Oryctolagus cuniculus: one gene and its partner. The protein of the gene in region 1 interacts with the protein of each later gene in a biochemical or structural test. Links are inferred from orthologs where the notes say so. Each region holds a gene or a part of one and is shown in the gene's direction. Other genes may lie near its edges.

Evidence for each region.
Region 2: of the proteins of BAD (region 1) and PAK1, one has a biochemical effect on the other in vitro, tested with the Homo sapiens proteins (3 studies listed by BioGRID). The link is inferred for Oryctolagus cuniculus from reciprocal best matches to the Homo sapiens genes BAD and PAK1.

What each region holds. Positions count from the first base shown.
Region 1 is NC_091432.1:7,043,312-7,045,924, forward strand, and holds the end of BAD (bcl2-associated agonist of cell death), read left to right. Parts: intron 1-984; coding exon 985-1,175; intron 1,176-1,639; coding exon 1,640-1,765; 3' UTR 1,766-2,040; downstream 2,041-2,613. UniProt on the Homo sapiens protein: Promotes cell death. Successfully competes for the binding to Bcl-X(L), Bcl-2 and Bcl-W, thereby affecting the level of heterodimerization of these proteins with BAX. Can reverse the death repressor activity of Bcl-X(L), but not that of Bcl-2.
Region 2 is NC_091432.1:68,610,489-68,614,744, reverse strand, and holds the start of PAK1 (serine/threonine-protein kinase PAK 1), read left to right. Parts: upstream 1-1,211; 5' UTR 1,212-1,794; intron 1,795-4,256. UniProt on the Homo sapiens protein: Protein kinase involved in intracellular signaling pathways downstream of integrins and receptor-type kinases that plays an important role in cytoskeleton dynamics, in cell adhesion, migration, proliferation, apoptosis, mitosis, and in vesicle-mediated transport processes.

The sequences.
Region 1 (2,613 bases):
CCTGGCAGGGGCCCGGGCGCCGGCCTCCCGTGTGTGCGTGGCAGGGGCCCGGGGCGCTGGGACCATCTTCTGCCGACTCCCAGGCCAGGATGGGGAGCCCAGGTGGAAACCGCCTCTGTGCCCCAGGCCACATCCCCGCTAGTGTTTAGTTTTGATTTTCACTTTATTTGAAAGACAAAGGAATCTTGGATGCACTGGCTCACTCCCGCGCAGGGCGGCCGCGGGCTCCCTGTTCCCGCGGTGGTCCTGGGAGACGGGGCTGCCCCACTGCCCAGAGGAGAGCAGGCCCTTCACTCGGCGCCCCCGACCCCTCGGAAGACGCCGTCGGGAACCGTGAGGGGACCCCGACCAGCGGCGGGGAGACCCTCTGGGTGGCTGCCTGGCGCCGTCGGGCAGGGTCCGGAAGCTGACCTCCAGGCTCCGCCCCAGCCCTGCCCCGGGCCTTCCCGGGGGCACACCTGGCTGGGAGCGCTGCCTTCTGCTTCCGGGAGTGGTTCTAGGTCTTTCTAAGCCTGGGGGAGGGGAGGGCTGGCGGAGCCGGCGGCAGACCCGGGCGCTCACCGAGCCCGTGCGTGCTGCGCCCGCTACCGAGCGGCTGAGGGCCAGGATTAGCGCCCCGTCCAGGGCACCCCAAGGTGCCCACCTCCTGGGGCGATCGGGTGAAGAACCCGAAGTGCCCCGGCGCCCGCACGCGCACCCAGCTCGGCGCGGCCTCTCCCTCTGCAGGGCTCGGGACGGGGTGCTCCGGGGCACCAGAGGCCCCGCCGAAGGCGCGCTCGTCGCCGAACCCACTCCCGCTGTGCCGGACGCTATGCGGCGCACGGTGCAAGCTCATTTCGTGCACGAGGCCTCGCTCGCTATCGGGCCTCGGTGAGGACTGGGGGGACTCCTGAGAACTGAACCGTCCCCGTCCGCGGAGGGGACCGGGCGTGCGGCCGGCGTTGGTGAGACCCACGCCGCCGCGCCCCAAACCCCTCTCCGCAGGCGCCGGAGCTATGGAAACCCGGAGCCGCCACAGCTCGTACCCTGCGGACGCGGACGACAGCGAAGGGGCCGAGGAGGAGCCCAGCCCCTTTCGGGGCCGCTCGCGCTCGGCGCCCCCCAACCTCTGGGCTGCACAGCGCTACGGCCGCGAGCTCCGAAGGATGAGCGACGAGTTCGAGGGCTCCGTCAAGGTGAGCGCGAGCCTAAGAGAAGCGGCAGCTCCAGGCTGCCTCCCAGCAGCTGGCCCCTTCCGGAGTCCCAGGGCATGCCGGGACCTGTAGTCCGGACCAACGCTCTCTGGAGCGCGGGGCATGCTGGTATCTGTATTTCTGGCCAGCCCCTTCCGGGTGCCTAGGTTCTTTAGCTCCGGCTTCGGAGCCGCCACTTTCACTTTGAATTGCGGTCTCGTCTTATAGATGCTAGTTCTCCGGCTCTTAACGGATTCTAGGCGGCACTTCCAGTGCGATACGGCCGGTTCGGCCAGTTCCCATTCCCAAGGTCCCAGCATCCTGTGCCTCCCGGACCGCTCAGTACGGGGCATGCTGGGAACTGTGGTCTTTATTGTTCTCCCGGGGATTCCGGAAGTGAGAGGACCCTGACCGGAACCGCCGGGGAAAGGCGACTCATTTAACCCTTTCCTCTTCCCATCCCAAAGGGACTGCCTCGCCCGAAGAGCGCGGGCACAGCGATGCAGATGAGGGAAAGCTCCAGCTGGACGCGCGTCATCCAGTCTTGGTGGGATCGCAATTTGGGGAAAGGAGGTTCCGCCCCTTCCCAGTGACCTTCGGCCCCACAGTCCCGAAACCCAGTCCGCTGCCGTCGGCGGCGGCGGCCATCTCGGGTGTGGGCGGAAGTCCCGCAGTCTGGACGCCCGAGCCCCTTCCGGTGCGTGCCGCAGCCGTCGGAGTCCCGGCGTTCCTCCGGAAGTGGCCCTGCGGCCCCGCCCGGCGCAGGTGGCGAGCCGGGGCTAACGGCTGCTCCGCCGGAACCTTCCCCCGCGGGGCGGCGCGGCCGACGCGCGCGCCCCAGGGCGCCAATAAAGCCAGCCTCTGTGCCGCCGAGTGTCCTCTGTCCGTCGTTTGGGGCCCCGAGGCCCAGGGTCGCGCCGTCACGGAGGCTGGGCGAGGGGCCGAGGCGGCGCGCGGCCGGACGCAGGGCCTCGTCCCCAGGGTGGCGACCAGGCGCCGCGGCCGCCGGCGGCCGGAACCCTGCGGGCTCCCCGGGGAGGTCACTGTTCCTAGCTGGGTCAGGCCCCGCGAGCGGCTACTGTGCGGCCGGCCGGGGGCCAGCGCCGCTCAGGGACCCGGCAGGAGGCGCGGCCCCGCGGGCCGCGAGTGGACCCCCATGCGGTGCCTCCGACGGGGAGACGGGGTCGGCCGTGGGGGCGCGGAGCCGGCGGCGGGCGCGCAGGAGGAGGAGGGCCGGGAGTGACCCTGGGCCCCTCGGCCCTGCTCCTCTGGCCTCCCCACCCCATCTGCCCGAGGCTGCAAAAAAAAAAAAAAAAAAAAAAACAAAACTAAAAACAGCAAAGCAAGCACTCGATTGGCGGAGAGCAGGCCCGCTAGCAGGCGGCTTCCTCGGGAGGAAGCGGGAGCGGAGAGCCGGCCTCGGGTGCCAGCCTGCCCTGCC
Region 2 (4,256 bases), about 62 Mb from region 1:
CAGGTTAAGGATTTTAGACTTTATCCTGAAAGCAATAAAAACCTTTCAGAGTGTTTAAATAGAGGAGGACATCATCATATTTGTGGTGGTCAGTGGATTGGATCTGGAGCAACTGAAGGTTGCGCCAGTAGTTCATGTGATGGTGGAGGAAGAGAAGGGCAAGGACCTGCAAAGTAGAATTGACAAGACCTGACGTCCAGTTTGGTAGGCAGGTAGAGAGAATCTGGACTTTCGTCCAGGTTTCTGTTTTCACTGACTGCTGGATTGTGTGGTCGATTCACTGAGACCAGGAAGGCACAAGAGTCGCAAGGTTGGAGGGAAATGACTGGTAATAGTCAACATTCCAAAGGGCTGACTATGCTTAATTGTCACTATCATTTTTATGGCTTCAGGTAGGCTTAGAGAGATTAAGTTAAGGATACACAAGTACCACTTATTATGGAGAAAGTATGGTTTAAAAACGTTAAGATCCTATTACTAACATTTATATGGATGATACGTATTTGAAGCAAGACAATCTTGTTCCAGACTTTCAGCCACCAATGCTGTCCAGTACTGGACACGTTGAATCTGAGGTACAACAATGCATGCAGGTGAACGCTGTGGGGGAGGTTTTGGTAAATACATAATCTTTGCTCCAGGGCAAGGTTTGGAGAAAGTAGACATCATACAAAGAGAAAAACGGGAAAGGAAGCCATTTTTTTTTTTCTGTGTCAGGTCACCATGGTTATCCTTTGTCTCCCCACTTTGGCTCCCACATCCTACCCAAAGAAAACAATTAGAATCATAGATAATGTGGCTCTGAGATCACACGAAACCGTTTTCAAATTCAGTCCTTGGAAATGAGCTAACGAATGCGGTGGTGCTTTGTAAGCAGCAGTCCCTGAATCCTGAGGGTTAGCCGCCTTTTTCCGATTGCAGCCATCCCAGAAATTGCCCAAAGGTTTTCAGTCACAAAGTCCATAGCAAAGAAACCTGCGGCGGGTTGAGAGCACCCGCAGAGAGCAGAGGAGCGGGCGCAATGACGTCACAGGCAACCGGGTGATTCCCCAGCCTCTGGCGTCATGAGGCGATGACGTCATCCCGGCGCTCGCCCTCCCCCTCGCCTGGGCTGGTCTCGCTCACGTGGGCCAGCCGGCCCTCCCCGCCCCCTCCCACCTGCGGGAGGCGGGGCGGGCAGGGCTCCGCCGGCGCCGAGGCCTCACAGGGGCGGGGCGGGGGCCGGTGGGCGAGGCGGTCGGGCCCGGGAGGCGGCTTACAATAGGGCGCCTGCGGCGGGGCGGCGGCGGGCAGCGGCTGCCACTGGAACTGAAGGTGCCGGCTACACAGTGGACGCCCCCTCACGGCTGCCCACACACGCCCTCCCCCTCAGCTCGCCCATCGCGCCTCCCCGCCTCGCTCTGCTGTCCTACTCCGGAGACACTTTGCCCTCGGACTCTTCTTTTCTCCGAACCCCGCAGTCCCCAAAATCCCGCTCAAAGAACTCTGCCTCCCCATCGACTTCCCACCTCCCTCCGAGGCCGTCCGAGCCCCTCACATCCCCGCCCCTCTCAGCCCACCGAGCCGGCCCCGCAGCGCCTCCTCCCGCCTCACCGCCCCCTCCCTCGCAGGTCCCTCGGTCCTGAGGGGATCCCCAGAGCCAGCGGCCGGGGGGAGGCGCGCGGCGGCGGCGGCGGGAGGGAGAAAGTGAAGCGGCGGCTCGCGCACACTCGCGCGCTCACCCCCGGCCCGGCCGCCGCCACCGGGGTGGAGGAGCAGGAGGAGGAGCCGAGCGGAGCAGAGCGAGCACGGAAGGTAAGAGCCGGCCTCCGGTCGGTGCCCCTGGCGTTGCGGGCTGTCCCGGCTGAGGCGCGCGGTCGGGGTGGGCTGGACGGGGTGGGGGCCCTGGGCGCATTCATTCTGGGCGCCGGGTCCCGGCGGGCGGGGGCGCCAGGTGAGGTGAGGCGGGCGCCGCCCCGCGAGGCGGGCCGCTCCCGTCGGGCCAACAAAGGCCCCCTGTGCACGCACCCGCGCGACCGCCGGTCTCGGACGCCGGGACATCGGGGGGCCGGGAGGGGGGAGGCCCCGGCGGGGGAGGGGCCGGGCCGAGGCTGGGAGACCAGACAGGTCCGAGTCCGGGACCAGCTCCGTCCCGAACTTGGCCGTCCCGCAGCGCTCACCGTGGCCCGCGACGGGGAAGCCTGGCCACAGGGCGCCCGCTTCATTCTGCGTGGAAAAGTTCCCCAGTCCAGGCTTGGAGAGCCACCGTTAGGGTTCAACTTGAAAAGAAAACAGTAGTGCGATTTATGCAGCCCTTCCCCCATCCCGGGAGTACTCCCTAACTTAGGAAGGTGAAAACAATCGAGGAAGGGAGAATTATAGTTGTTTTGTATTAGCTATTCCATTTCAAAAGACATTATTACAGCGTTCACTGTTTTGAATATTTCAACGGTAAACATTACTGGCAGTGTTTTGGAAGAATACTTAAGAAGTACTGGGTGTGTGTCGGTGTTGCCAGTAAAATCCTTGTTAAACCCCTTGGATAATTGTCTTACACTTCACTGTATTTTTTAACTGTGAAAGGTGAAGGGAAAGGTTGGTATTGTGGTTACCAATAAACATTCAAATCCATCACTCTTGTCTTTAAAGAATTGTTCTTGGGAAAAATGTTTAATTTCGTCAACTGTGTATTTGAGCTTTCTCATCTCTTGTCAGGAGAAAACAGGAGTCCACAGTACAAAGATACCTCATTTGTCTTACCTTGTGGCTTTACCTACTTCCTGTGTGACCTTGAGCAGGTCACTTCCAGCCTTAAAATTCTAGGAGTTTGCTTTTGTGTCCCTGGAATGGGCAGGTAGGCAGCATACCTACTTCACTTTCAAGAGTCCAGTGAAGAATATGCCTCCCCCCAAGTCTTTGCTGGCATCTGTCCCCTCCCTCTCAGGTAGAGCTGACTTCTCCCCGTTGGGGCTTTCAGAGGCCCACTGAGATTTCTCCTATGGCACTTGTAGCATTTTAATTTCTGTTTGGGAAATCCTGAATCAGGTGCATATGAAACCTACCCCACATCAGCTCTAATTCTCAAAAAAGTTTTGGGAATATGGACCCTGAAACATTCCCTGAACCTTATACATACCTTTACGTGAGCTCGTGGGTCTACCTGGTAAAATTGCTTATTCAGTTATTCTCTTATCCATTATTACTGGAATCTGCTTCAAGCCTCTTGCCACAGCCATGGGGATTTCAAGAGTGTTAAGACCTTCCTTGTCTTCAAAGAGCTCAAAGTCTAGTGGGTGAGGTAGACAAGTAAACAATGCAGCCTGCCCTAATCTCCGGGGGACTTCAGTTGTACAGGGAGTAGTGTGCAATAATTGAGGTTGCTGGACCTGTTTTACAAGTTTGCTTCTGGCCAAATTGAGTTCTTCAGGCTGGCCCCTCATCCATAAGAAAAAGTAAAATTCTACATACATTTATTGAGCACAGGTTTTGAGACTCTGTATAGACTTGAAGGAAGCAGCACCTCAAAGGAAGGCATTTGTGTAACCACAGGGATTTTGTAAAACAAAGCGTAATCACTTAAGTAATTCCTACCTCTGACTATTCATTGTCAAAAGATAAATTTCAGACTCCTTAGCTTGGAACTAGAAACTGGAGATCTGAGCATTGTCTACCTTTGCAGCCTCAGTTTTGGTAAACTCTCTCCTACCACTTTTTTCTCATCTGTGCTTCCCCTTGTGCTGTTTCATCTGCCTAGAATGTCTGCCTTCTTCACCTTCCCTGCCTACAGAGGTGTCCTTGTAATAAGTTGCCTTTCCATCCTCTGGCTCATGTACACACCACGTTTTTAGTTCTGTCTGGCACTGTATTACAATTATGTTAAGTCTGTGCTTATCTTTTTTCACTAGCCTGTGAATTTCATGAGGGCATGATCTGTTTAGTTTTAGTGGCTAGCAAAGGACCTGGCATTGAATAAGTGTTTAAATGAATGAATATGTGTATAAAGAATAAAGTCAAGGCCCATGAGTTAGAGATTCCTAATAGTTTCTCAAAGTGTGGTCCCTGGATCACAGCTTCAGCATAATCTGGCATCTTGTTAGCAAATCAGTGGGTACTAGTTGAAACCTACACATGAACAACTCTGAGGTTGGGGCTCCCACAGAGACCTTTGCTTTAACAAGCTCTCTTAAGTGGTTCTGATGCTTGCTGAAGTTTGCAAACCAGTTTCAGAATTGCCTCCTGATACCCTAGTAGCTCCCTTTCTCCCTTTTTTTCTTCCA